Linked DNA regions of Callithrix jacchus. The protein of the gene in region 1 binds, or shares a complex with, the protein of each later gene. Links are inferred from orthologs where the notes say so. Each region holds a gene or a part of one and is shown in the gene's direction. Other genes may lie near its edges.

Evidence for each region.
Region 2: SNRPD3 (region 1) and LSM3 share a complex: the UniProt entries of both Homo sapiens proteins name them as parts of the U4/U6-U5 tri-snRNP complex. The link is inferred for Callithrix jacchus from reciprocal best matches to the Homo sapiens genes SNRPD3 and LSM3.
Region 3: SNRPD3 (region 1) and EFTUD2 share a complex: the UniProt entries of both Homo sapiens proteins name them as parts of the minor spliceosome. The link is inferred for Callithrix jacchus from reciprocal best matches to the Homo sapiens genes SNRPD3 and EFTUD2.
Region 4: SNRPD3 (region 1) and SNRNP40 share a complex: the UniProt entries of both Homo sapiens proteins name them as parts of the U4/U6-U5 tri-snRNP complex. The link is inferred for Callithrix jacchus from reciprocal best matches to the Homo sapiens genes SNRPD3 and SNRNP40.
Region 5: SNRPD3 (region 1) and CWC22 share a complex: the UniProt entries of both Homo sapiens proteins name them as parts of the minor spliceosome. The link is inferred for Callithrix jacchus from reciprocal best matches to the Homo sapiens genes SNRPD3 and CWC22.
Region 6: SNRPD3 (region 1) and SCNM1 share a complex: the UniProt entries of both Homo sapiens proteins name them as parts of the minor spliceosome. The link is inferred for Callithrix jacchus from reciprocal best matches to the Homo sapiens genes SNRPD3 and SCNM1.
Region 7: SNRPD3 (region 1) and GEMIN5 share a complex: the UniProt entries of both Homo sapiens proteins name them as parts of the SMN-Sm complex. The link is inferred for Callithrix jacchus from reciprocal best matches to the Homo sapiens genes SNRPD3 and GEMIN5.

Annotation. Positions count from the first base shown.
Region 1 is NC_133502.1:195,121,112-195,125,212, forward strand, and holds part of SNRPD3 (small nuclear ribonucleoprotein Sm D3), read left to right. Parts: intron 1-499; coding exon 500-692; intron 693-4,101. UniProt on the Homo sapiens protein: Plays a role in pre-mRNA splicing as a core component of the spliceosomal U1, U2, U4 and U5 small nuclear ribonucleoproteins (snRNPs), the building blocks of the spliceosome.
Region 2 is NC_133516.1:71,157,199-71,161,944, forward strand, and holds the start of LSM3 (U6 snRNA-associated Sm-like protein LSm3), read left to right. Parts: upstream 1-1,750; 5' UTR 1,751-1,791; coding exon 1,792-1,812; intron 1,813-4,693; coding exon 4,694-4,746. Other genes in the region: XPC (DNA repair protein complementing XP-C cells), read right to left, coding at 1,398-1,500. UniProt on the Homo sapiens protein: Plays a role in pre-mRNA splicing as component of the U4/U6-U5 tri-snRNP complex that is involved in spliceosome assembly, and as component of the precatalytic spliceosome (spliceosome B complex).
Region 3 is NC_133506.1:85,261,892-85,265,059, reverse strand, and holds part of EFTUD2 (116 kDa U5 small nuclear ribonucleoprotein component), read left to right. Parts: intron 1-546; coding exon 547-633; intron 634-866; coding exon 867-993; intron 994-1,195; coding exon 1,196-1,283; intron 1,284-1,895; coding exon 1,896-2,014; intron 2,015-2,136; coding exon 2,137-2,231; intron 2,232-3,070; coding exon 3,071-3,168. UniProt on the Homo sapiens protein: Required for pre-mRNA splicing as component of the spliceosome, including pre-catalytic, catalytic and post-catalytic spliceosomal complexes. Component of the U5 snRNP and the U4/U6-U5 tri-snRNP complex, a building block of the spliceosome.
Region 4 is NC_133508.1:67,890,959-67,893,760, reverse strand, and holds the end of SNRNP40 (U5 small nuclear ribonucleoprotein 40 kDa protein), read left to right. Parts: intron 1-393; coding exon 394-497; intron 498-1,528; coding exon 1,529-1,578; 3' UTR 1,579-1,981; downstream 1,982-2,802. UniProt on the Homo sapiens protein: Required for pre-mRNA splicing as component of the activated spliceosome. Component of the U5 small nuclear ribonucleoprotein (snRNP) complex and the U4/U6-U5 tri-snRNP complex, building blocks of the spliceosome.
Region 5 is NC_133507.1:49,008,139-49,012,853, forward strand, and holds the start of CWC22 (pre-mRNA-splicing factor CWC22 homolog), read left to right. Parts: upstream 1-1,712; 5' UTR 1,713-1,923; exon of another isoform or gene 1,924-2,730; intron 2,731-4,715. UniProt on the Homo sapiens protein: Required for pre-mRNA splicing as component of the spliceosome. As a component of the minor spliceosome, involved in the splicing of U12-type introns in pre-mRNAs. Promotes exon-junction complex (EJC) assembly.
Region 6 is NC_133519.1:11,058,664-11,063,450, forward strand, and holds the start of SCNM1 (sodium channel modifier 1), read left to right. Parts: upstream 1-1,579; 5' UTR 1,580-1,641; coding exon 1,642-1,692; intron 1,693-1,958; coding exon 1,959-2,029; intron 2,030-2,884; coding exon 2,885-2,973; intron 2,974-3,073; coding exon 3,074-3,171; intron 3,172-3,276; coding exon 3,277-3,365; intron 3,366-4,787. Other genes in the region: LYSMD1 (lysM and putative peptidoglycan-binding domain-containing protein 1), read right to left, coding at 588-767. UniProt on the Homo sapiens protein: As a component of the minor spliceosome, involved in the splicing of U12-type introns in pre-mRNAs. Plays a role in the regulation of primary cilia length and Hedgehog signaling.
Region 7 is NC_133503.1:54,144,528-54,148,628, reverse strand, and holds part of GEMIN5 (gem-associated protein 5), read left to right. Parts: intron 1-3,618; coding exon 3,619-3,770; intron 3,771-4,101. UniProt on the Homo sapiens protein: The SMN complex catalyzes the assembly of small nuclear ribonucleoproteins (snRNPs), the building blocks of the spliceosome, and thereby plays an important role in the splicing of cellular pre-mRNAs.

The DNA of each region.
Region 1 (4,101 bases):
GGGTCAGAACTGCATCTGGTATACACTCGTGACCTTTGTGGTGCCTTTGAAATCTGACTGCCAGGCAATGCAGGGGAAGACACGGTTTGGACCAGCAGTTTGAAGCTGTTTTAGTCAGGTCTAGCACCTTCAAGAGCTCTTCACGTTTGCTCAGCAGGCAGTACAGCACAGCTAGGGCTTTGAAGCTAGACCAGCTGGTTCAAATCTGGAGTTCCCTGCATTCCAGCTGTTTGACCTTGGATAACTGCTTTGGTTTTTTTTTTAACCCATAAAAATGGGAACACTCATACCCACGCTGGAGGTGTTGTGAGGACTATTCAGGTAAAGTGCTCAGTGCAGTCCCTGATATACACAGTTAGTACTGACCATTGCTGAGTAATTCACCAGCTTTGTCACAATGTCAATCTGCTTTTCAGGACTTAACCCTCCCAACAGTCAAGGCCCTCCCCACCACTGGTGCTGTTGACTGTTAGCTGATTAGCTGGTGATTTCCTTCCAGATGTCCAACATCACAGTCACATACAGAGATGGCCGAGTGGCACAGCTGGAGCAGGTATACATCCGTGGCAGCAAAATTCGCTTTCTGATTTTGCCTGACATGCTGAAGAATGCACCCATGTTAAAGAGCATGAAAAATAAAAACCAAGGCTCAGGGGCTGGCCGAGGAAAAGCTGCTATTCTCAAGGCCCAAGGTAGGTGCTCTTCATGCACAGGTTTTAAAATACAGGTTTGTCTTGTGTCTTATAGAAAGGGGCCTTGTTAACTGCCTGGGGATGAAGTGGGCTTGACCCCTGCTCTCTCCACACCCACTGCCACCCCTTCCCCTTGCAACATGGAGAGATCCTGTGAGGCCATGAGGCCTTGCCTGGCCTTCTCTGTCTTGCTGCATTGGATCCCAGTAACAGGGCTTACATAAAATCCAAAGAAAAAGAATTCATTATAGGAGATTTATCAACTCTTTCACTGAAGATAGGAATGCTGTCTTAATAATTGTCTTAAGAAGACAGTATTCCTGTGTTCAATGAAAGAGTTGATAAATCTATAATAAATTTCTAGGGGGCCCTTTTTTTTATTGTAATTTTTTATATTTTTTTGAGACAGAGTCTTGCTTTGTTACCCAAGCTGGAGTGCAGTAGCTTGATCTCTGCCCATTGCAACCTCTGCCTCCCGGGTTCAAGCAATTCTGCCTCAGCCTTCCAAGTAGCTAAGATTATAGGCATGCACTCCCATGCCCAGCTAATTTTTTATTTTTTATTTTATTTATTTATTTTTTTTGAGACGGAGTTTCGCTCTTTGTTACCCAGGCTGGAGTGCAATAGCGCGATCTTGGCTCACTGCAGTCTCCGCCTCCTGGGTTCAAGCAATTCTCCTGCCTCAGCCTCCCAAGCAGCTGGGACCACAGGCACACGCCACCATGCCCAGCTAATTTTTTTTTTTTTTTTTTTTTTTTTTTTTTTTTTGTATTTTTAGTAGAGACGGGGTTTCACCACATTGACCAGGATGGTCTCGATCTCTTGGCCTTGTGATCCACCACGCCTGGCATTTTTTATTTTTAATTTAATTTTGTTTGTGTGTGTATTTTTAGTAGAGATGAGGTTTCACCGTGTTGGTCGGGCTGGCCTTGAACTCCTGACCTCAAATGATCCACCTGCCTTGGCTTCCCAAAGTGCTGGGATTACCAGCGTGAGCCACCGTGCCTGGAGAGGCCCTTCTTTTTTACAAGTTCTGTGCAAGAGTCTGGGATGGCTTGCCCTTGTCTATCTTGCTGAGCAGTCACAGCACAGAGCAGATGAGCTGACTCATGACGCGTGAGGGCAGCATTTTCTAGGGAGACTGGGTAATGTGGATAGACACTGAGCATGTACTTAGGGAGATCTGACAGTGGACTTCCATTTTCAGAAATAAAGCCTTCCTTTAGTACATTCCAAAAGTAGGACGGTCCTTTTCCCAGTTTCCTAGTCTGGCCTTGCTTCTTGGTTAGCTTAATTTGGTTTTATATTTAGGTTCCTGAGAAGTTCTGCCATGTGGATCAGGTAACAAAGTATTTGCAGCCCTTAGAAACTGTCTTAGTGTTGGTTGAAAAAAAAATAGTTTGCAGGCAGGGAAGGCACTGGATTCTCCATTGGTATCTTTAGCTGCTATACATGTTTTATATAGGAAAAAAAGTCAAACTGTTTTTCCTCTGCTCTTACAACACAGCAAGCAACAAAGAAGACTTGTGTGACCAAGCAAGCAGTCAGTTCTGCAGTAGACACGAGCTGGGTGTTTTTCAGATCTGACATTATCTGTCTAGAGATAGCCTGAGAAGCCACTGGTTGAGGGCCTGGTCCCATAAGACTGCCCCTCCATTCCCCACTATCCCTAAGTACGGTCCTCCAGAACATCTGAATGGCTTCAAATCAGGGTTCTCACATCTCCCTCCTTAGGTTCAGTGAATTTGCTGGAGTAGGAATCACATACTTAAGTTTACTGATTTACAACAAAGGATTTTTTCTTTTGAGACGGCGGAGGTGTTTTTTGCTCTTGTTGCCCAGGCTGGAGTGCTATGGCGCAATTTCGGTTCATTGCAACCTCCGTCTCCTGGGTTCCAGTGATTTTTCTGCCTCAACCTCCGAGTAGCTGGGATTATAGGAATGCGCCACCACGCCCGGCTATTTTTTTTTTATAGTATTCTTAGAGGCGGTTTCTCCATGTTGGTCAGGCTGGTTTCGAACTCCTGGCCTCAGGTGAGCCACCACGCCTGGCCACAAAGGATATTTTATAGGCTGCAAATAAACAGCCACATGAAGAGATGCATGCATAGGGTGAAATCTGGAAGGGTCCCAAGCACGAGAGCTCTGTCCGCATGGAGTTTCCTCCTGGCACTTGGATGAGTTCTTGTTCACCTTCCTGTCGGGCTCCACGTGGTCAGCTGTCCCAAAGCTCCCCTAAGCCTGTCCTCTTGGGTCTTTTTATAGAGACTTCATTGGATAGACATGATTGAAGGATGGACAACCATGTGGAAATGCAATTAGACAAGAGGGTGTGATCTAATACTAATAGACAGGATGAGGAAACCCTACAAGGCCTGTCCAGATTCTTTTTTGGCCTCTCTGCAGCATTTCTTCCTCCAGGGCATAGGACATGACCTTTCTCTGGAGTGAGGTCTTGTGACCCACAATCAGATTAGGGTCCTGCCTTGGGCGGGTGGAAGGAGGGCAGGAGAAGTTTCAAGAGAGATTCTGTTTCCTGAGTCCTGCTTCTGAGGCCTAAAGTGCCCCAATGTTATAACAAAATACTATAACAAGGTCTACAGGAATTATGAGCCAAGAACCATGGATGAAAGCTCAAGTTTAAAGATGTAATAATAGTGTGTAATCCTTTGAAATGCCCTCCCCCCCAAAAAAACTAATCAGAGTATCTCCTTGCCCTTCCCAGGCAAGAGGCAGCTGTGAGAAGATAGAACCAAAAGCTCTGTACCTTTTGTCCTGGTGAAGGAAGAGTTTTCAGAAATTCTGGCTTTATGGCTAGAACTATTGCTCTTTCTGCTTCCTCAGGGAAGGGCCACCCTCATTGTCACCATCTTCTCTAGCAAAAGATACACCTTGTGGGTGTGCACTGCAAGGCCCTTGGCAGTGAGTGTGCCCAGGCCCACTGACTTCTGCCTGAGCCATCTGTGCCTCCCAGCCCTTTGCTGTGGTCCTGTCAGCTGGTGGGTGAGCTCTCTTCTCTTGCTCTTTGGGACAACTCCAAGGTCTGTATGAGCAGAGAGATGAGGCTCCATTTAGTAGCCATCAGAATATTTCATCTGTCCTTCAAAGCCTGTCCTATGCTGGAACCCCTGGGTTACAGAGGAGAAACAGCAGTTTTATCATACTGTTTATATGAAGAGTGTTTTGTTTTTGCTACTATCAAATAATTTTTTTTTTTTTTTGAGACAGAGTCTTCATCGCTCAGGCTAGAGTGTGGTGGCTCGATCTCAGCTCATTGCAACCTCCGCCACCTCCCAAGTTCAAGTGGTTTCTCTTTCCTTGGCCTCCCGGTAGCTGGGATTACAGGCACACACCACCATGTGCAGCTAATTTTTGTGTTTTCAATAGAGACAGTGTTTAGCCATGTTGG
Region 2 (4,746 bases), on another chromosome or scaffold:
ATGCAAACACTAGGCCATTTTATACAAGGCACTTGAACATCAGGGGTTTTAGTATCCGTGGGATCCTAGAACTAATCTCCCAAGGATACTAAGGGGTGACTGTATATGCCGTAACAGGAGTGGGAGAAGGACAAGACAGGATACAGCAAAAAATAAGACATGCTTTCATGAAGACTAAATACTAGATAGGCAAGCAACAAGGAAGCAAATAAATTAAGCTCATTACAGATCGTGAAAGAGGCTGGGAGGGCAATAATTGGAGTCCTATGATAGAAAGTATCTGGGAAGAACCACCTTAGGATGTTCGAGGAGTGTCTGACATGAGATTTGAAGAAATCTAAGAAATTAGCCCTGACAAAAGCCATGGGTGGGAGGAGGGGTCACTCTAGGCAGAAGGAACATCAAAGGAAAAGACTCAAGAAATAACTTGGCATATTTGAGGAAGAGAAAGGAGGCCAATAAGGTGGGTATCTGGCAAGGAAACAAGTGGTAGGAGAAACAGGAGAGGTAGCAAGAGCCAAAACATGTAGCATCTTGCAGGCCAGGTTAAGCCAACTGGATTTTAAGCTAAGAGCAATGGGAAGCCAAGGAGAGTTTAAAATAGGAACACGGCATGATTAAAAAAAGAAAAAAAAGATTATTTGGGTTGCTGGATGGAGAACTGGGAGGCCAATAAAGAGGAAACTGCAGTCACTCAACTGAAAGGTGATGGTGGCTTGGACAGGGGCCATGGCCATGGAAATGAAGTGGACAAATTTAAGATACAGTCCGAGGCTGAACTGACTGGATTTGCTGATGGACTGATGTGTGCACATAAGAAAAAGGCAGGCTTTGCTTTATAACAAGTACTGAGACTGGAAAAACGGAGGAAAGGATAGATTTAAAGGGGAAAACCATGAGCTCCGCTTTGCCTGTGACAAACATAAGAAGCCTATCCGATATTCACGTGGGGAAGTCAGGTGGGATCCCACTGTGGAACTCCGGGTGAGACTCCGCTTAAGTGACCATTCGGGAGTCACCACACTGCATCACTCTACGTCCTGGTCCGTCTGTCTGCCTTCCTGGGACCCAAATAACTGCCTTCTCCACTTTCAGCCCTGAGCATCTGCGCTGTATCCTCTGGGCAACCCGGAGCGGAAAAACGCTACGCATGAGCTTGGGTCGGGCGAGGCTCCCGAGGAATCGCTCTGCGTGCGGAGGACAAAGGGACAGGGACAGAGCGGAGGGCCGGACGCGGCCTGCCGAGCTGCTCCCGCGGCCGCCGTCACGTCCCCGCGGCGTGGAAGACGCGCAGTAAACTGCATCCTGTCTCCACGTCTGGCCTCCCACCCCAGCCTCCCGGCCTCCTCCGCCCTGCTGCGGCGTCTCCCGCTAAGCCCGCTGGGCCTCGCTCTCACCCTCCTCCTCCTCCTCACGCCGGGCCTTGCTCTTGCCCTTGGACTTCTGGCTGCGCGGTTGGCGTCCCCGCGGCTCCCCGCCGGCCGCGCGCTTCCGAGCCATGTTGTTCTTCGGGGCAAAATCCACTTCGTGAGTGACGCACCTGGCCGCTGTGCACCAGAGCGCGGGCTCCGCCCACAGGCGGGCGCGTCTAGCCCTGTCCCTTAGTTGGAGGCCTAGCCACGCCCCCGAAGGAAGCTCCGGCGATACCCGTGGCCACCAAAAACCACAGGAAGCAGGAAGGAGAAAAACAGATTTCTCTCTACTTCCGGTGTATTATATCCTCCTGTTTCCGGAGATCCGCGTTGCTCTTGTGTTCTCGCGAGAAGCGGGAAAGAGCGCAGGGTTTGAAACATGGCGGACGACGTAGACCAGGTGAGTGTACTTTAAGGGGGTCGCTTCGAGCAGCTTCGCGTACTAGGGCTGGTTTTCCCAAACTTAGGAAAAATGGCCAGTCGTGTCTCCTCCTTCCAGGTCACCATGGTCCAATCCGCCCCGTCCTTTCCGTAACCGCCCCCTGCTCCGAATTTTGCTGCAGGCCCTGAGATCTTTTCCGGTTAGAAGCCCACCTGACTACTATTCATCACACTCTTCAATTCATTTTTTTAAATCTGTAAATTATTATCCTTGCCTGCCTCACGGAGCTGTTAGGATTCCAATAGAAAGCCTGATGATGAAGTTAGAAGTTCATATCATTACTGAGCGCAACCATTATTTATTCATTTAGCATATTTAGTGAAATTCAGCTTTGTATGGTTAGACACTATTCTAAGGGCCAGGGACACTGACATCGACATAGAAGTGATCCCTGCCATTACTTGGAGCTTATATTCGTGAGGAGAACAGATAAAAGTAAATATAAATATGTAGGAGACATAGGAACTGTGATGTGATGTGAAGGAAACAAGGAACTAGTTTGCAGAATAACAGATGGCCCTAGAAGCTTTTTCACCTTGTCTTTCTCTTCCTCAAATATCTTTGGAGATCAAGCCACAAATTCTTAAGCTTTCTACTGAAATCTCACCTCCTCAGAGAGGACTTCTCCTGCGCCAGTAGCACACGCTTTACTCTTCTTACCCTGCTTCATTTTTCTTCAGAGCGCATTATTATTTCGTATTAAATATATGCATCTGTTTTTAATGTATAACCCTTCCCACTAGAATTTAAGTGCCATAAGAGCAGGTTTTTTGTTTTGTTCTTTCTTCTGTCCTTAGGGTTTAGAACAGTGCTGGAAACACTCAACAAATATTTACTTAATGAGGCCTCTTTGAAAAGTCAATATTTAAAGCTACAGTGGGCATCGTAGACAGAGGCTTAGGTAGCAGTAGGGTTCTGTCGTGTGCATATTTTGACAGTATTTAATTATTTATTTGTATGCCTCTCCACATTACAATGAGCTCCTTGAGAGTGGAGATTGTGACTTCTATATCGTTATAATCTAACAGTTGGTTATCTGATCCTTTAACAAACACCTGTTGAACTAGGGAAGTAGGGATCAGTCGAGTCAGGGTTTTGTTTTTTCTCTCATCTGACCTTTTGAAGCTTTAGAGCCTGTTGCATTCAGTCACCTTCCTCCACTGGCCTCATGTACTTAATGAAGATCTACTTGAATAGTCTTTCTCTTAATGGCTGCAACCATTCGACCCCAAGTCATCCTAGCCCTGACCTCTAAAACCGACGTTTCCAGCAGTTCTTTAATAATACTAATAGGAACCATTTCTTTTCTTTTTCCTTTTTTTTTTTTTTGGACAGAATCTCACTCTGTCATCCAGGCTGGAGTGCAGTGGCACAATAGATCTCAGCTCACAGCAACTTCCACCTCCTCAAGCGATTCTCCTATCTCAGCCTCCCGAGTAGTTGGGACTACAGGCGCGTGCCACCATGCCTGGCTAATTTTTCTGGTTTTTTTTTTTTTTTTTTTTTTTTTTTGAGACGGAGTTTCGCTCTTGTTACCCAGGCTGGAGTGCAATGGCGCGATCTCAGCTCACCGCAACCTCCGCCTCCTGGGATCAGGCAATTCTCCTGCCTCAGCCTCCCGAGTAGCTGGGAATACAGGCACGCGCCACCATGCCTGTAAGTTTTTGTATTTTTAGTAGAGACGGGGTTTCACCATGTTGACCAGAATGGTCTCAATCTCTTGACCTCGTGATCCACCCGCCTCGGCCTCCCAAAGTGCTGGGATTACAGGCGTGAGCCACCGCTCCCGGCCAATTTTTCTGTTTTTAGTAGAGATGGGGTTTCGCCATGTTGGCCAGGCTGGTCTCAACTCCTGACCTCAGGTGATCCGCCTGTCTCAGCCTCCCAAAGTACTGGGATTCAGGCGTGAGCCACCATGCCCAGCCAGTAGGAACCGTTTATTACTATTTTCTGTTTACCTGGCACTGTTGTAAATACATTAACTACTTTAAACTTCTCAAGAACCCAGAAGGAAGGTTGTGGCCTCCTCAATTACAAATGAAGAATCAGAATTACAGATGGCATGATTTTTAATCTTAGTTCATTAGAGTCAGGTCACAGCCAGGAGTTGAACCCAGACTGCCTGACTCCAAAACCAGTGCTTTCTTTTTTCAAGACAGAGTCTCACTCTGTTGCCAAAGCTGGAGTGCAGTAGCACGATCTTGGCTCACTGCAACCTCCGACTCCTAGGCTCAAGCCATCCTCCCCCCTCAGCCTCTGAATAGCTGGGACCACAGGCATGTGCCACTGTGCCTGGCTAAGCCAGTGCTTTCAACCAGCGTTTTATACTGTCTACTAAATATATTCATCTTACTGGCCAGTTGGCAGCCTAAACTCAACCTGTGCTAAATTCATAATCTTCCCATTAACCTACACCTCTACTTAGCATTCTGACTAGTGTATGGTAGACATTGAGTGAGTGTTTTTCCAACGATTACATAATATTTGAGATAAAGCTAAAGTCCCTGAGAGCCCATACCCTGAAATTGGGTCAGGCAGTTTGATTTTGAGGGAACAAAGAATAGTCATGATTATTTTGCTGTGTAACTCCTTTTTGTGTATGTGTGTTTTAACCTACATTTATGTAGCACATATTATATGAAAGGCACTGTTCTAAGCCGTCATAGATATCACTTAAGCCTCACAACAACAGTATTAGGTAGACACTGTTATCTCCATTTTATAGCTTAGGAGACTGAAGCAGAGAAAGGTTAACTTGCTCGTGGTCACACAGCTTAACAGTGATTTAAGCAGGTCTCTATCTCTAGTACTGCCTTCCTTAACTTGTTTGTTTTATCAGCAACAAACTACCAACACTGTAGAGGAGCCCCTGGATCTTATCCGGCTCAGCCT
Region 3 (3,168 bases), on another chromosome or scaffold:
GTGCTTGTCCTTTTTTGCTCTCCCTTGCCCTGATCCTGTGTTGTTTTTTTTTTCCCTTGAGATAGGGTCTCTCTCTCTCTCATCCAGGCTGGATTACAGTAGTGCCATCATGGCTCACTGCAGCCTCAACCTCCCCAGCTCAAGCGATCCTCCCACCTTAGCCCCCCAAGTAGCTAGGACTGCAGGTGTGCTAACCACACCTGACTAATTTTTTATAGAGCTGGGGTCTGTTGCTTTGTTGCCCAGGCTGTTCGTATTTTTGTGTTTGTTTTTAAGAGGCAGTATCTTGCTGTGTCACCCAGGCTGGAATGCAGTGGTGAGAGCCTTAAATTAAATGCTCACTGTAGCCTTAAATTCCTGAGTTTAAGTGATTCTCCCGCCTTGGCTTCTCAAAGTGCTGGGATTACAGGTCTGAGCCACCACACTTGAAACCCATGTTTTCACTGATTTTACTTCCTCAGCTGTCCATCTTGTAACCCTTTTTTTATTAATGCCTCTTCTGCTATTCTGTTAGCCCTCCTCACCACCCATTTCCATTCTGACCAGGAACAAGATCACCATGATTGCTGAGCCTCTTGAGAAGGGCCTGGCAGAGGACATAGAGAATGAGGTGGTCCAGATTACATGGAACAGGTGAGAACAGGACTCTGATGCCAGGGTCAAAAGGAAGCAGGGATGCCACAGCTTACCTGCTGGGTCTCTGAGAGCACACATCTTTCTTGGAAGCATTTATCTTTGCCTTTGCTCTTGTCCTGGGCACAGTGGGTAGAATGAGGTGACTGTCTCCTAGGAAGGGAGGGTCTGTGGCTCCAGGACCAGCAATCACAGAGCTGGCCGACAGCTCCATTGTCTCCTCCTTTCCCCAGGAAGAAGCTAGGAGAGTTCTTCCAGACCAAGTATGATTGGGATCTGCTGGCTGCCCGTTCCATCTGGGCTTTTGGCCCTGATGCCACTGGCCCCAACATTCTAGTGGATGATACTCTACCCTCCGAGGTACAGCAGAACTGATGGGAACTGGGTGGCGGTCTCTTACCTCTTGAGTGGAAGAAACTACAAAGTGTTTATTTCCAAAAAGTATTTTGTGTCCTCTTGTGAAGGACAATATCCTCTTACAGGTTTATCTATCTTCTCCTTCCTCTAAATGCTTCAGCTGTTGTCAAGGTGACTGCTAAGGAGGCCTCATGTTTCTCTGTAGGTTGACAAGGCTCTTCTTGGCTCAGTGAAGGACAGCATCGTTCAAGGTTTCCAGTGGGGAACCAGGGAGGGCCCCCTTTGTGATGAGTGTAAGTCCACCAGCACTCCCCCACCCCAGTCCTCAAGGGTCCTTCAGCCAGGCTTAAGAGTAGGATGGGCTCACCATCTTTAGGACTGGGCAGGAGAAGCAGCCTGGGCTACACAGGATTGTCCCATGTCCTGGGCCAGCTTCTTTCCTTCTCCCTCCTTATCCTGGTACAACCATGTGGTATAGCCTGGGAATTTAAGTCATTTCTAAACTGTTATTTGCTCCTCATTTCTGAGAAGCATTTCGCCCTGGACATATTTGAGGAGAAATATCAAGGAGATGATGAGATTGGAGTGGTTTATAGACCCTGATTGGGCTTTATGGGACCAAATGTACAGGGATTTATTCTACGTCCATAAAAATGTAAAATCTGCAGAAGGAAATAAACTTCCAGGAAAGCTCTGTGTTTGAGCATGGCCTGAAGCAAACCCTAAGAGCATTTGCTTAACTTCTGACCTCTTTGCCATGGGCCTTGCTTATTCAGTTAGAGCAGCTACCTCCCGTGTGTTTTCTGTACCATGTCTTTCATGACTGCAAGACAAATGCTACTCTGCCATGGCCCCATGGCGGGCCCAGAACCTCTCTCCATTTAGCTGCCCCACCTCCTTTACAGTGATTCGGAATGTCAAGTTTAAGATTCTGGATGCAGTGGTTGCCCAGGAGCCCCTGCACCGTGGCGGGGGCCAGATCATCCCCACAGCCAGGAGAGTTGTCTACTCTGCCTTCCTCATGGTAAGAGAATGAGGCTATAGGGGACGATCTGCTTCACTGGACAGGACACTAAGAGGAGGAGCAACTGGGACTGCAGGCCCCCAGCCTTCCCCAAGCTGAGGGCCCTTCTCACTCTGCTGCAGGCCACTCCTCGTCTGATGGAGCCTTACTACTTTGTAGAGGTCCAGGCGCCTGCAGATTGCGTCTCTGCTGTTTATACGGTCCTGGCCAGGCGCAGGTGAGCAGCCCCAAGTATATTAGGGAGAGTGCTGAGAGCAAGAGCAGACCACGAGGCACCTTGGCTCCTACAGGGAGAAGGGGTTGGCCTCCCCTTCCCTCTTCACTCTGGAAACCCTGCGAGCTGATTTTCCAGAAGGAAGTAGGAAAAGAGTGAGGCAAACCCCAGCTTTTCTTCAGATTAAAATTTGATGTTTCTTTTGGGAGTCCCCTCCTCAGAGAGCTCTTGGAGGAAGTCCTGAGGCAAGTCAGTGATGGGAATGTCTTTGGACTCGTGTCCCATCACTGTCCCACTCCTGTCCTCTCCGGAGGTTGCTGCCACTTTGACTTCCACAGGGAATTAGGCTGGGCGCAGTCGCTCATGCCAGTAATTCCAGCACTTTGGGAACCTGAGGTGGGTGGATCACCTGAGGTCAGGCGTTCAAGACCAGCCTGACCAACATGGAGAAACCCCATCTCTACTAAAAATAAAAAATTAGCCGGGTGTGGTGGCACATGCTTGTAATCCCAGCTACTTGGGAGGCTGAGGCAGAAGAATCGCTTGAACCCAGGAGGCAGAGGTTGTGGTGAGCCAAGATCATGCCATTGCACTCCAGCCTGGACAACAAGAGCAAAACTGCTTCTCCAAAATAAAAATAAAAAAAAAAAACAACAACTCAAGACCACAGGAAATTACACTGAGAGCCCCGAGCTTTTTCTGCTCTGTATAACATTCTTGGTTACTCTTTCTTTGATGGTAACTCTGGGCTGGGATGCATTTGGGAACAGCCAATGGCAGATTGCTTCTTGTCTTTTGGCCTTTGTATAACTAGAGACTCGGCCTTTATTTTTTTGTCGCAGGGGGCACGTGACTCAGGATGCACCCATTCCAGGCTCCCCTCTGTACACCATCAAAGCCTTTATCCCAGCCATCGACTCTTTTGGCTTTGAAACTGATC
Region 4 (2,802 bases), on another chromosome or scaffold:
CCCAGGAGGCGGAGGTTGCGGTGAGCCGAGATCGCGCCATTGCACTCCAGCCTGAGTAACAAGAGTGAAACTCTGTCTCAAAAAAAAAAAAAAGGTTTTTGTGTGATGTCTGGAGGAAAAACTATTTTCTTCCCTATGGTGTTTCCCGTTTCAGAAGCTTATACTCGAACGTGCCAGTACTACTTATATTTTTTATTTCTCCACCCCATTGCTCAAGAGCTAAGTCCATGTCTTACTCAAACTCTCTATTCCTAGTTTCTAAAAGCCAGAACATGGTTCAGTAAATGTAAGGTAAGTAAATAATAGTTGCTTTCATTTCCTTTGAATAGCCATGCCTCTGCCCTACCCGCAGTTCTAGAAGGCCTTATCCTTGCTTTTCATGATACCTTACAGGTTTGTGTATGTGTGGGATACTACAAGCAGGAGAATATTGTATAAGCTGCCTGGCCATGCTGGCTCCATCAATGAAGTCGCTTTCCACCCTGACGAGCCCATCAGTAAGTCTGTCCCGACAAGGGGGGAAAAGGAAACTGGAAACCCCCACTTAGGGATCCTGGGAATACAGAGTCAAAAGTGGGTATCTGTTTTATTTGAATTTCCATTCAAACAGCCTTTTTTTTTTTTTTTTTTTTTGAGACGGAGTCTTGCTGTGTCACCCAGGCTGGAGTGCAGTGGTGCGAGCTCTGTTCACTGCAACCTCCACCTCCCAGTTTCAAGCTATTCTCCTGTCTTAGTCTCCCAAGTAGCTGGGATTACAGGTACCCACCACCATGCCCAACTAATTTTTAGTAGAGGTGAGGTTTCACCATGTTAGGCTGGTTATGAACTCCTGACCTCAAGTAATCCACCCGCCTCAGCCTCCCAAAGTGCTGGGATTACAGGCATGAACTGCTGCACCCAGCCGCAAACAGTCTTTATATGGGTATCAGTGAGGCTCACCATTGGTCATAAGTGGTGAGGGTAAGAGCAATGTTCCATTTTCTTCTTGACCTCAAAGGGAAGTTGGTAAGTCTAGTTTTTTTAAATTTACTTCCACCAAGTCTGTTTCAATGATGTATTTGGTTAAAAGAATGATACTTCTTAATATTTAGTTATAAATTTCAGCTTAAAATTTTTTTGCTGGCTAAACCAAATAATTTAAGCCGTGAATTAAAGGACAAACTGTAACTTTCTCCAGGGCTAAATGTAACAAGCAGAAGCACATTTACAAAATGACTGGTCCAGACATAGATATTCTCTTCTTGAATGACTGGGAAAGTCTTTTTCTTGGGGATTGACTGACAGCGGACATCAGTATTTAGAGCCTGATAACGTATTTCCCACAGTACAGTCATCCTCATGATATTAGAGGACTTGGATTGAAAAGCAAGGCTACCATTTCTTGTGGATGGTGTTGAGGAGAGGAATTTAAGCTAAATCCAATTGCTCTTTTATACCAAAATTGGCTCTTGACACAAGTGCCCTTGAGTACCAAGTCTCCTTGAGCCTTCATTATTTCTAGTTATCTGCTCTGTTCTTTTTACCTCAGTTATCTCAGCATCGAGTGACAAGAGACTGTATATGGGAGAGATTCAGTGAAGATATGGAATAGAAGATTCCAAGGCTGCTTGTGTTTAAGACCTCAGACTGCATAAGTGACGTCAAATGTTGGCTGCCCGGGCTAGCACCCTCCCTTCAGATGACCATTACTAGCAAGAAACAGAGGAGGCGGTGGCCGTATTCCAAAAACCACTTCTGTCCCGTTTCACCAGGATGACTAAGGCAAGCTCCCCATGGCTTCTAAAAACCACATGCCAGATTTCAGGGACTGTTTTATTTGTTTTCTTTTTCTTGTTTTCTGTTTTCTAATGCAGGCCCAATGTGACAAATTTGTTGGTTGAAATTTTTTTTTTTTTAAGTAACTAGCTTGTATGATATTTTCTCTCTGTATTTCTCTTAAGTCATTTTGTATTAAAAGCCAAATAGATGCCTTTTTACAAGAGCCATGTGGATTGGATTTATTGCTGTCTTTTTTTTTTTTTGAGGCTTGATTGCTAAAAATCAGAGTAGAGCATGATGTGGCCACAGGTTACCATTCACTTAAAAGTCCAAGAAGCTGTTCCCTTGGGGGTTTTTTTCCACTTTTCTGTGTTTTTAGGTTTACTCATTTCCGTGACAATGACAGAATAATTATTCATCAGTAACAAATACTTTTTTCCTACTAGAAGCAGAGCAGCCAAGAGGTGATAAATAACCTGTTTTGTTTACTTATACCTGATCTTTAATGATCAGAGCCTCTGTTTACTCTGTCCCCTGCCAAAAGAACTGTTCTGAGCAGCATTCTCTAAACTCAGGCTCTTGAAAGCAGCCAAATTTGGGGCAATCTCAGCTTGTAGAAATGACATTGGTCAGAATGCTGCATTAAACTCAACTCAAATAGAATATGAGACTGCTTGGGTGCAACTTAGCCATGATATTATCTGAGACATCTTTATGATTCTGTTTACTTGTCTGGCTTAGCATAAACAGACAGGGACATTAAGAAATGCTATTGGCCAGGCACAGTGGCTCATCCCTGTAATTCCTGCATTTTGGGAGGCTGAGGCGGGCGAATCACCTGAGGTCAGGAGTTTGAGACCAGCCTGACCAACATGGAGAAACCCCATCTCTACTAAAAATACAAAATTAGTCAGGCATGGTGGCAGGCTCCTGTAATCCCAGCTACTCAGGAGGCTGAGGCAGGAGAATCACTTGAACCTGGGAGGAGGAGGTTGCAGTGAGCCAAGATCACACCATTACACTCCAGCCTGGGCAATAGTGAAA
Region 5 (4,715 bases), on another chromosome or scaffold:
CTGCCCAATACTATTTCCTCCCTTTTCCTTTCACCTTTTTCATTCATAATTCTTTCTCAGTGTCTGCTTCCTGAAGGACCCAACTGACAAATCTATTCTTTTCCAGCTCCATCTAGTTCTCTGCTCAATCTTTTCTATTTCTGTTAATCGTTGTAGAGGTAGTGTATTCATCAGGGTTCCCTAGAGGGACAGAACTAATTATATATATAAAGGGGAGTTTATTAAGTATTAACTTACATGGTCACAAGGTCCCACAATAGGCTGTCTGCAAGCTTGTGAAGCTAGGAGAGCCAGTCTGAATCTCACAACTGAAGTCCAATGTTTGAGGGTAGGAAGCATCCAGCATGGGAGAAAGATGTATACTGGGAGGCTAGGCCAGTCTCGCCTAGTCTCACCTTTTCATGTTTTACTGCCTGCTTTATATTTGTTGGCAGCTGATTAGATTGTGCCCACTAGATTAAGGCTGGGTCTGTCTTTCCCAGTCCACTGACTCAAATGTTAATCTTCTCTGGCAACACACTCACAGACACACCCAGGATCAATATTTTACATCCTTCAATCCAATCAAGTTGAAATTCAGAATTAACCATCACAGGTAGTATTGTGGATTTTTAAATATATGAATACAAATGTTCATCTCCAGATCCGTCTCCTGTGCTCTGTATTGGTACACCAAAATGCGCCATGAACAATGGCCAAATATCTTAAATATGAAATAAAACAGTTAACACTATTGTATACCAGCAATTATCTTAAATGCATTATGTGAATCAACTAATTCAATTCTAAAAACTACTTAATGGGTGGGTAATATTAGTATTTCCATTTAACAAATCAGGTAATGGGCACAGAATGTGAAGTTATTTGCCCCAGTGATCCATAAATAATCAAAGAACTCATGACTCAAACATATGTGGTCCAACTGCAGTGTTTTTATTCTTAATCATCACACTCTGCCTCCAGAAAGGAGCGGAAGCACAGCACTCTAAAATTGTAATAGAGAAGTGTGTGGAAAAACCAGGCCTGGTTTATGAAAGGTTTGAAAATATAAAGATATTCTTGTTTGAGGAAGAGAGTTTCCAAAAGAGCAAGTAGTTGAAGTTTTAGGTTTTGTTACTAGCGAAAAGTGAAGTTTAAAGAAACAGTTTGTTCAATGCCCAAGTTCTGCACTCTGTACAAACTGCTTCCCACTCAGCCAGGCAGTCTCCTTACTCTCAGCTCATACCAGTTGGTACCTTAACCTAAAAGAGAGGCAACGTCTTCTCTACAGAATTAGTTTTTCCTCATTATTTACTCTATGTATGATGTAATATTCTCCCATTCTCTTGGTCTGGACGTCTTGGAATTTATTAGGCACTTAATATTTGGTAACATTTTTGCTTATTAGGCTCTTGGTCAAACTCTATTATAAAGTCTCAGGAAAATCTCTTAATATTTTCACGGAAAAGTGACAACTGACTGCTTTAAAAAAAATGTCCCCTAAATGCAGAGAAATAGTTTTAGATTAAAGTAAATTCGGCTAGACTCTAAACACTATTAGGCTGCCAGTGAGCACCTTGGATGTTACTCGTAGGCGCCCAACTGTATGAACTACAATTCCCATCTTACACCGCGCCATTCCATGCTAAACTACAATTCCGCTTTCGTCATTTCCGTCAACTTAGGCGCTGGATTTCGGACTTTGTAGGTCATGTCAACTTCTCTTTTTTGTCGCCATTTTGATAAGAAGACAGTGTGCCTGGGTCGACCACTTTGACTCTGGTATTATGATATGCTATTTGAAATAAATTAAAAGGATAACGTGTCAAGCCGATTGAGCCTCAAGTTTTTATGTATTTCACTATCCGCATTCTTCCTACTGTCGGTGGTCGGGAAAAGGAAGTGACGTACGTCCGGTGTAATGGCGGCGCGGTGGAGCTCTAGGTAATTATCTGAAGTCGGTGGAGTCCCCGCAGGCAGCGAACCGGAGAGGGGGTGGCGGGTCGCTGGATCGGGTGGGAAGTGAAAGAGGCCCAGGAGTGGGTGCGGGCTCACTGGTACAGCTGTGAGCATCATTGGAGTGCGCGTGGCTCTCTTTCCGCCGGGCACTGGCCCGCGAGGGGGGTGTGAGAGCGGCTGGGGCCGAGGAGTCCGAGCCGGTGGTGAGGGAATGGGCTGTGTTAACTCACTCACTGCCTGCGCAGACCGGCCGACCTTCCTTGTGAGGTTCTTGGAGCTATCTGAAGTCCTGCACCAATCCTGGTGCTGTTGTTTCGTGTACAGTGTGTTTTGTACTTAGAGCCTCTGGAGTCAGTTGGGCTTGGGAAAGCCCCTTTACTAGTGCCCAGATCCCCGCGCCAAGGGAGTGGGATTAATGAGCTGTAGTTGATTAAAAGTTGAAGTGCTTGCACTCTTATGTCTTTTCCGGCCTTAAATCCTTTTGACTATTTGTGTGAAATTTCATTAGTGGTTTCTTCTTCATTTATTTGTCCTGTAAATACTGATAAGTTCTAGCGTTTAGTCTCGAAGACGCTTCATTTCTCCTGTGTTCTCTTCATCTATCTGTCATACTTTATCCAGCTCTAGTGAGGTAGTAACTGCCAAACTTGGCTTTCCAGGCTCCACCTCTCTAACGAGCCTTGGGTCCTACAGTGCAGCATTATGTAATGGAAATATAATAGTTAATTTCACTGAGTTTAACTGCAGAAACCGCGGTACCTGTTTCTACTTAATCTTCACAATTCTTTTGAGGTAAGTGGAGAAGGCAGGATTTGGAGAAAGGCTATTTTAGATGCAAGAATTCGCTAAGCGTTTTTTTTGCATTTTTAAGTGTGCAGAGACTCCAAATAGATAAACAAGCAAACTTTGTCCTCAGCAGATCAGTTAACCTAACTCTTACCTGTATTTAGGATTGCTTGGAAATTCAAGTTAACATAAATTATCCTACTATGGAAGGGCAGATTGAAAATTTGCATTCAAAGTGTGGTTTTGACCAGGATAAGCATTGTAACAGGCAGTATCAGTAGGAGGAGGAAACTCACTTGTGTTGGGCCTGATAGACCAAATATTTCAATTTTATTCAGCAATTATTAGGTCTGTCACATGAAGCAAGTTATCTAAGGTCTTTAGTGTCAGCTTCATCATCTGAAAACAATCCAATGAGGCAGGTATTGTGTTATTACCTCATCTGCCTCATTGGATTGTCTTTTTTGGAGTTTAAAGAAAACTAATGCTGATGAGGCACTCAGCACAGTGCCGGATACACTGTGTTCGCTTTATATTATTGTAAATTACTACGATGATATAGTTGATGAGTTCTCTCTGTGCCTCTATTCTTGTTCTCTGGTTCTGAATGTTGCCTTTCCACCTTAAATGTCCTTCCAGTTTTAAGTGTCCATGTCACTTTTATGGAGTCTTTCCCAACTCAGTTGACTGCGGCTCTGAGACTGTCTTGGTTATAAGTTAAAGGCCAAGAACTTTGATCTAATATCCTGGTCTCGTGCTTCCAAAAATGTGTTCTGAATCAGCAGCATCATCTCCTTGAAGCTTGTTAGCAATGCAAATTACTGGGCTTCACCCCAGTTCTGTTGAATCAGAAACGTGGAAATGGAGGCCCAACGATTTTATTTTTGTTTGTTTGTTTTTCCAAAGCATTTCAGTGATTCTCATGCCAGTTAGTTTGAGAACTTGTGATTTAGCCCATCCTTTAGGGACATACTATGGTTAGTCCTTCCCCTGCCCTCAGAATCAGGTTTGATGCCCTCCTTGCTCCAAAGTATTTGATCCGTGGCCAGCTAGTATTTATTATTATGCTTTGGATAGGTTATCTTCACTCACTTTTTGAAGTTCTGACACTTCCTAGACTACTTAATTGTTTTTTGTAAGCCAGCTTTCTTAGCTCTGTTAGCTTTCCCAGCTGCTGAATTTTTAGAAGTTAACACTCCTGGTGGGGCGCGATGACTCACACCTGTATTCCCAGCACTTTGGGAGGCTGAGGAGGGTGGATCACTTGAGGTCAGAAGTTAGAGACCAGCCTGGTCAACATGGTGAAACCCCATCTCCACTAAAAATACAAAAAGTATTAGCTTGTAGCCCCAGTTACTAGGCAGGCTGAGGCACAAGAATCACTCGAACCCTGGAGGCAGAGGTTGCAGTGAGCTGACATCACTCCACTGCCCTGTAGCTTAGAGGACAAAATGAGACTTTGTCTCAAGAAAAAAAAAAGAAGTTAGCTTTCCTTCCCAGTGCTCGTACATTGTTGAGCGACCTACAGTGGCTTGTACCTGAGACCACCCAAAAGACAACACAGTGACACATTTTATATTTCATATGCCCATGCCTTAACTTGAATAATATTTTCAATTTATTGTCCACCTGTATTTAGATGGAATTTTGTACTACCTGTCATATCCCTGACTTGGTCATCATTTGTTCATGGTACCTGGAGCTAGTTCAAGAAAGTAGTGGCTATTGGTAATACATCTGATCCCACTGATAACTTTGAAGGCTTCCTTGTTGAATTTCCCTGCTTTTCTGTTTATCCGAACATGGGAAGATGGTAGAACAATTAAGCCACAGAGCATACTAGTTTTAGCAAACTCCCAGACTTATACTTTTTCTCAGTATATACATTCCCCAGTGGACATTGGAAGAGACATTTGAATGCCTATAACAAAGTGCAAACTCTAAGCATGGATTAAAGCAAGGCTTTACTATATATAGTCAAGTTAGTAAGT
Region 6 (4,787 bases), on another chromosome or scaffold:
GGTGTGGCAGCAGGCACCTGTAATGTAATCCCAGCTTCTCGGGAGGCTGAGGCTGAGAATTATTGAACCTGGGAGGCAGAGATTGCAGTGAGCCAAGATCCGCCATTGCACTCCAGCCTGGACAACAGAGCGAAACTCCGCCTCAAAAAAAAAAAAGAAATGAAAAGAAAATGTTTCTGTGTGGTTAATAGCGTCAGATAGACCTGTTTGAATCCCAAATCTGACACTCATTATTTGACCTTAGTCAAACTGGTTAACCAATCCAAGTCTCAGTTTCTTCATCTGCCAAAAGGAAACAATAAATGTACTTGATAGGGTGTGAGGGTGACATGAGCTAATGTATGTGAAGCCCCCAGCACAGTGTCTGGCATAGTAAAATTGGAGCTGTTCCTCTCCATTGGAATAGTAGGACAGGACTTGTCCCAACCCGGCAGTGCAACACTGTGATGGGAAAACAAAGATAAAGGCAGAACAGGTGTAACACTTTAGGAACTTTTCAGAGGAGTTTACCTAGAAAGGCCACTACATTCTTCTCAGGACTAAATCCCTCCTGACTGTTGTCTGCACCCCAATCCTGGAAAACTCACCGTCACCCCATATTTGAGTGCTAGTCCAGCCAGGGTGTCTCCAGGCTCCAAGTGATGCTCCAGGCGTCTCTCCCTCACTGGGGAGCAGGCCGATTGCACGAGGCTTCCATATGAACGAGCCCGGCTCCCTTGAAGAAGTCCTGACCCCCCTGGGGGGGGCTGTCTAGACGGGGAAGCCATCTCTTCACCCTAACGACAGGTAGGGTTGCAACTGGGGAAGGCCCGGCCGAGACTAAGGGTGACAGGCCTTAAGTCTGGGAATGGATATTCAAGGGATTCCTTTCCCCTTCTCTCTTCCCCTGTGTCCCCGCCTCCCCGGCACTACGCCACCTGCCCCCTCCCGGTTTCTCCTCTCTCCAAGCTTGTTATCCACAAATCTGTCCCTTGAGTATTCAGTCCCTCCCTGAATCTCTCCCCTAAGCACCCCACCGACTGTGAACCCCCCACAACTCCTCGCTACATTGACCTCTGACCTTTGACCTCTAGAAATAATCCTCAACAGTCTTTCCTCAGTTTGCCCCCAAGTCCGGTAGCCTGGCCTCTGGGGGCTCTCGCATCCCGGGTCTGCCCGGTCCCGGGGTTCGTCCGCTAGGGTCAGAAACAAATCAGCCCACCCCAGGTGAACTGTCGCCGCAGATGAAGAGCGCGAAGATTGCGAGAGTCTGTAGTACACCTTCCACTCATCAGAGAGGTCACACCCTCACATTTCGGCTCCACATCTAGCTTCTTGTCCCTCCAAATGCCGCAGATCCGCCAGGATGCGAGGGCCTGGATCCAGCAGAGCGGCAAGCTCTTTGAGAAAAGACTTCATTTCCCAAAAGGCTCGGCGTCTGCAGTGTCGCAGGGCACCATAGGAAATGCAGTTCCCTCCGTGCACCAGCGAGTAGATTTCCGGACGCGCAAAGCCTGTGTGGAAGCGCATCCCCGGAAGTACGGAGGCCGACAGGAAGAGACTGAAAACAGAGAAAGAGTTGTCCCACTCTTGCTACGGTGGCCTGGAGGAGTTGAGAAACCGGAACAAGAGAATTTATCATTTCTGGGACTCACAGTCGTGATGTCTTTCAAGAGGGAAGGAGACGATTGGAGTCAACTCAATGTTCTCAAAGTAAGCGTGAGCAGAGAGGATCCAGGGCAGCTTCAGTCGCTCTCTGAAGGTTGGGAAGGAGCTTTGTTTTGTTGCACTGGCAACAGCTCGGGGGTGCGGGAGAGAAAGAGGCGACTTAGAGCTGGGTAGTGACACCTTTTTCGGTCTATGATCACTATTCTCCCCAGGGTCCTTATTCCATTTGACTCCTCATTTCTCTCATTTCACTTCCATCCGTTTCTCCTATCTGCTGATGCCGTCCGGATTTTTTCCCCTTCTCCCTGCAGAAAAGAAGAGTCGGGGATCTGCTAGCCAGTTACATCCCAGAGGATGAGGCGCTGATGCTTCGGGATGGACGGTAAGAGCGAGGAGTGGCCCAAGCCTGAGGGTTCTATGGTTAGAGGCTCAACAAACAAAAGATAGAGGTCTCTCTGTGTTGCCCAGGCTGTCCTCAAACTCTAGGGCTCAAGTGATCTTGCTTCCTCAGCGTCGCGAGTAGCTGGGATTACAGGCGGGCGCGACCATGCCCGGCTTCAACAAACTTTATTGATTGATTGATTGATTGATTGAGACGGAGTTTCGCTGTTGTTACCCAGACTGGAGTGCAATGGCACGAACTCGGCTCACCGCAACCTCCGCCTTCTGGGTTCAAGCAATTCTCCTGCCTCAGCCTCCCGAGTAGCTGGGACTACAGGCACGCACCATCATGCCCAGCTAATTTTTTTTTTCTTTTGAGACGGAGTTTCGCTCTTGTTACCCAGGCTGGAGTGCAATGGCGCAATCTCGGCTCACCGCAACCTCCGCCTCCTGGGTTCAGCCAATTCTCCTGCCTCAGCCTCCTGAGTAGCTGGGATTACAGGCACGTGCCACCATGCCCAGCTAATTTTTTTGTATTTTTAGTAGAGACGGGGTTTCACCATGTTGACCAGGATGGTCTCGAACTCTTGACCTCGTGATCCACCCGCCTCGGCCTCCCAAAGGGCTGGGATTATAAGCATGAGCCACGGCGCCCGGCCCCAAACTTTTGTTATTAATCAGGACAGCAGGAGTATCTAGGATTCCTTGGCCGGAAGTGAGGATCGGAAGAAGTGGGGATTGGATGACCTGGAGTTGGGCTTTGGAAAGGACTGCTAGGACAGGGTGGGACTTACTGTAGGGACTGGCCCCACCCTCTTCCCCTGGACCAATTATCCTCTTCTCTCCCCCTGCTCAGTTTTGCTTGTGCCATCTGCCCCCATCGACCAGTACTGGACACCCTGGCTATGCTGACTGCCCACCGAGCAGGCAAGAAACATCTATCCAGTAAGTTTGGGGAAAGACAGGGTATGGGGAATAAACCCTCGAAATTTCTGCACACCGCTCTTGGTGCTATGCTTTTAGTCTTGTTTCCCTTTCTCCTCAGGCTTGCAGCTTTTCTATGGCAAGAAGCAGCCAGGAAAGGAGAGGAAGCAGAATCCAAGACATCAGAATGAATTGAGAAGGGAAGAAACCAAAGCTGAGGTAATCAGAATGGAGAGTGTATTCTAGTCAAGACCCTGCTGCACACACCAGGCTGGAAGGGAAGAGGGCTGAAGCCTCTGACTCTGTCTCCCATCTCCTTATCAGGCTCCTCTGCTAACCCAGACACGACTTATCACCCAGAGTGCTCTGCACAGAGCCCCCGACTATAACAGTTGCTGCCGCCGGAAGTACAGGTATGGGAGGGGAAAGCCAGAGGTCGGAAGGCTCAGAAGGAGAAAGATGGCTCTAAAAGTTCTCCAATGTGAGGCCAGGCGCGTGGCTCAAGCCTGTAATCCCAGCACTTTGGGAGGCCGAGGCGGGTGGATCATGAGGTCAAGAGATCGAGACCATCATGGTCAACATGGTGAAACCCGGTCTCTACTAAAAATACAAAAAGTTAGCTGGGCATGGTGGCGTGTGCCTGTAATCCCAGCTACTCAGGAGGCTGAGGCAGGAGAATTGCCTGAACCCAGGAGGCGGAGGTTGCGGTGAGCCGAGATCGCGCCATTGCACTCCAGCCTGGGTAACAAGAGCTAAACTCCGTCTCAAAAAAAAAAGTTCTCCAATGTGTATTCTAAGGAACACTGGTATTCCGGAGATGTTACTTAGTGTTTCAAGAAAAGGAGAATTTTGGCCAGGCACAGTGGCTCATGCCTGTTATCCCAGCACTTTGGGAGGCCGAGGCAGGTGGATCACTTGAGGTCAGGAGTTCAAGACCAGACTGGCCAACATGGTGAAACCCCATCTCTACCAAAAATATAAAAAATTAGCTGGGTGTGTGACGTGTGCCTGTAATCCCCAGCTACTCGGGAGGCTGAGACAGGAGAATCGCTTGAACCTGGGAGGCAGAGGTTGCAGTGAGCCGAGATCATGCCACTTCACTCCAGCCTGGGTGACAGAGTGAGACTCCGTCTTAAAAAAAAAAATGGTGGGGGCTGGGTGTGGTGGCTCTTGCCTGTAATCCCAGCACTTTGGGAGGCTGAGGCGGGTAGATCACAAGGTCAGGAGATCGAGACCATCCTGGCTAACATGATGAAACCCTGTCTCTACTAAAAATACAGAAAATTAGCCAGGCATGGTGGTGGGCACCTGTAGTCCCAACTACTCAGGAGGGTGAGACAGGAGAATTGCCTGAACCTGTCGGGAGGGTGAGAGAGGAGAATTGCTTGAACCCAGGAGTTGGAGGTTGCAGTGAGCTGAGATCATGCCACTGCACTCCAGCCTGCGTGACAGAGTAACACTCGAAAGAAAAAAAAGAGAGAGAGAGAGAGAGAGAGAGGAGAAGAGAAGAGAGAAAGAAAGAAAGAAAGAAAGAAAGAAAGAAAGAAAGAAAGGGGGAGAGGGAGGGAGGATGTGTTTTTGTTTTTTTTTTTGAGATGGAGTCTCACTCTGGAGTGCAGTGGCATAGTCTTGGCTCACTGCAACCTCCATCACCTGGATTCAAGTGATTCTCCTGCCTCAGCCTCTGGAGTAGCTGGAATTACAGGTGCTTGCCACCATGCCCGGCTAATTTTCTGTATTTTTAGTAGAGATAAGGTTTCACCATCTTGACCAGGATGGTCTCAATCTCTTGACCTTGTGATCTGCCCACCTCAGCTTCCCAAAGTGCTGGGATT
Region 7 (4,101 bases), on another chromosome or scaffold:
CCTTAGCATCATTTATTCCTCCAGGTCCTTACTGACTCTGCCAGTCCGTTTTTGTTTCCTTGGTTTTCCATGGTACTGTACTTTCTTGGTTCTTCATGTCCAACTCCTGTAGTCAACCTTTAAATGTAGGAAGCGTCCTCTTTCACCTTTTTCACTTTCTGTGCTGCCTTTTGATATAACATGAACTCCCAGGTGTCAGATGACTTTGCTCAGTTTGTCTGGTTCTGAGCACTCCGTCTAGATTGGGAAAGCAGTGTGACATTGGGATCCATTTCCCCATTGATCAACAAGGTTGTTTCACAATGATCTACCAGGATGGACATCCCCCTTTCCTTCACCATTTATGTACTTCTCACTGAAAGATGTCCATTTTCTCTAATTTGAAGACTTAAGCAATTTCTCTAGAATGTTGAAGGCGAAATTCTGATTGGAGTGAATTTGAAAGACTGGGGACTAATGTAATAGAGGTATAAAAAGAAACAACCCTTTCACAAAGTTTGTTGTAAAAGTGTGCATAGACATGAAGCCAGAGGGGATAGATGAGGTCAAGGGAATATTAAATGGTAGATACCAGGGACCTGTTTTTATGCTGATGGAAGTAAGGCTTGAAAAGAGGGAGAGCTTGTTGCAGGAGTGATGGTGAAAAGTCAAGAGGGGACTGGACTCAGATGACAAGAAGAAAGAATAGCAGGGAATATAGAAATAGGTACAGGTACGTTTGTAGATGTGTTTGGAAGAACAAGGTATTCCATTCTGGGATTTCTGATTTTCTCAGTGAGCTATAAGTCAGAGTGGTAGAATCAGATTCAGCATGGGGTCGAAACTGGTTATGGGAAGAAGGTATGAAAACAGTCAAAGAGAATAGGAAAATGAATATACTAAGGGAAATTGTAGGCCCAGTGTTCACTGTTGTGCCAAACAAAGAATTGTGGCTATAAATTTTAAGTAAACCCAAACTGTTTGAGAAAGGAGATGGTTGGATTCAGCCAGGTTTGGGGCTTTGTGGAGTAAATACTCTTGAGGGAGGAGACAGGGGCTGTAATGATATTTTTTAAAGTTGATAATAAGTCCAGGTGCAGTGGCTCAAACGTGTAATCCCAACGCTTTGGGAGGCCAAGGTTGGTGGGTGACCTGAGGTTGAGAGTTCAAGACCAGCCTGACCAATGTGGAGAGACCCCATCTCTACTAAAACTACAAAATTAGCCAGGCATGATGGTGCATGCCTGTAATCCCAGCTATTTGGGAAGCTGAGGCTGGAGAATCACTTGACCCCAGGAGGCGGAGGTTGCAGTAAGCCTAGATGCGCCATTGCACTCCAGCCTAGGCGACAAGAGTGAAACTCTTATCTCAAAAAAAAAAAAAAATAGCCAGGTGTGGTGGCGCATACCTGTAATTCCAGCTACTCAGGAGGGTGAGGCAGGAGAACTGCTTGAATATGGAAGGCAGAGGTTGCAGTGGGCCGAGATTGCACCACTGCACCTCAGCCTGGGTGATAAAGCAAGACTTGTAAAAAAAAAAAAAGTTGATGATAGGGATGGATCATGAAAGCGGTGCTGCATGGGGTGAGGGGAAGTATAGAAAGACTGGTGTTGGTAAGTGATAGTGAAAATGGAAGGGGACTGGATCGGCCGTCTTGTGAAGGGGGAGCAGTATTGGCAGTAGGGGTGCTAGAGGAAATGAACAGAAAGGTAGTAGGCAGCAGTCAGGGGAGGATCTTCAGAAGAGTATTATTCCCAGAAAGTTTGATTCAAATTTCTAAATAGCTTGATCTGTTGACAATCAGATTGCATAACTTGGTGGTTTTCAAAGTCCTGGTCTTCAAAGATTGGAATACTCTAGTATTTATTTTTCTTTTTTAAAAAATAAAGCTGTACTGGCATTTTTCCCTGTCAAATGCTCTAATGTGTAGGAAGTGTGAATAGATAGAACCACTTTGTAGAATGCAGTTTTGTGGGGTTTTTTTGAGACAGTGTCTCACTCTGTCGCCAGGCTGGAGTACAGTGGCGCAATCTTGGCTCAGTGCAACCTCCATCTCCCGGGTTCAAGCAATTCTCCTGCCTCAGCCTCCCGAGTAGCTGGGACTACAGGCGAGCACTACCACGCCCGGCTAATTTTTGTATTTTTGGTAGAGACAAGGTTTCAGCATGTTGGTCAGGATGGTCTCGATCTCTTGACCTTGTGTCTGTCCACCTCGGCCTCCGAAAGTCCTGGGATTACAGGCTGGAGCCACTGCACCCGCTTGTACTTTTTATAAAGATGCATATATCTTAACATCCTGGCAGTTTCATTATGAGACATGAAACCTGAAATTGTCTTAGATGTATACATGCACATTAAAAGTATCTTTTTCTTGTAAAATAGGGAAGCCCTTCAAAGGAAAATAAATAAACTTTGGTACATTCACACAGTGAGGTACTAATACAATAGTGTAATGACTGGCCAGGAAGTAGAGTTACGTGTATCAGCATGGATGACTTACAAACAGAATGAGTGAAAAAAACAAGCTGCAGGAAAATAGGTGATAGCATATATATGAAGTTTTAAAACTTATAAACTCTGTATCTTATTTAGGAATATATACAAAGAAAGGCTAGGAATGATATAACACACAATTCACAAAAAGTGTTTGGCCTCTGGTAAAAGAAGAGAAGAAGAGATCTGGCAAGGAGAGAGGTTTGATGGAGGTGGAATGTACAGAGGACTTCAGCTCTATTGGTCATTATTTTTCTTAGGCAGGGTGGTAGATTACTTTCTTATGTGTCTGAAATAATTTATTTTCAAAAAGCTATTAGAATTTCTCAGTTTCTTCTGATTCATAAACTGACAGCCTTGGAATATGGAGGTCTAGAGTATAGAATTCTGTAACTTTTGTTAAGTTCACAGTTTAAAAAGTAGTATCACTTATAAAATAAAGATGATTTTCCAGTGGACTAGGACACGGTTATCTCAATTAGAAGAGTTGGTCAGGTGTGGTGGGTCACACCTGTAATCCCATCACTTTGGGAGGCGTGGATTGCTTGAGCCCAGGTGTTCAAGACCAGCCATGAGCAACATGGTGAAACAAGTGGATTGCCTGAGCCCAGCGTTCAAAACCAGCCATGAGCAACATAGTGAAACCCATCAGTACAAAAAAAATATAAAAGTTAGCCTGGCATGGCACATACCTATAGTCTCAGCTACTCTGGGAGGCTGAGATGGCAGGATTGCTTGGGCCAGGGAAGTCAAGGCTGTAGTAAGTGGTGATTGTGCCACTGCAGTCCAGCCTGGGCAACAGAGAGCAGAAAAAAAAAAGTTGCTGGACCCTTGCAAAAACTATAAAAGTTCCCTTAGAACAAAATCATGCTCCACTGTGAGCTTTGTACCAGGCAACATACACAGTATTACCTAATGCCAAGAGTTTGATCATAGAGAGGAAGGTTTTAACAAAACCAAGAAGCATAAGATGAGCACTTTTAAAAAAGGGAAAAACAAAATTATTTTTGGTTCTTTCCTCCTCCACCACCCCGAATGCACCTAACTTTAAGGAATGCACCAATGATAACTCTAAGCCAAAATGTTTACTAGAGACCCTGTTCTGACTTCATTTTTTGAGTAACATTTCTAATTCTTGTTTTTTAGGTACAAAGATGGCATAGTGGTTATAATTGACATCAGTAAGAAAGGAGAAGTTATTCATAGGCTTCGAGGCCATGATGATGAAATCCACTCCATAGCCTGGTGTCCCCTGCCTGGTGAAGATTGTTTATCTATAAACCAAGAGGAAACATCAGGTAGAGATGGTTTAAGTTCAGTACTCTTTAGACCTGAAGAACAGCGGGTAGAATTATATCATTTTATTTTATTTTATTTTTTGACAGGGAATTTCGCTCTCGTTGCCCATGCTGGAATGCAATGGCACGATATCGGCTTACTGCAACCTCAGCCTCCCGAGTAGCTGGGATTACAGGCATGTGCCATGATGCCTGGCTAATTTTTAGTAGAGATGGGGTTTCTCCATGTTGGTCAGGATGGTCTCAAACTCCCGACCTCAAGTGATCCACCCACCTTGGCCTCCCAAAGTGCTGGGATTACAGGCATGAGCCACTGCACCTGGCCAAATTA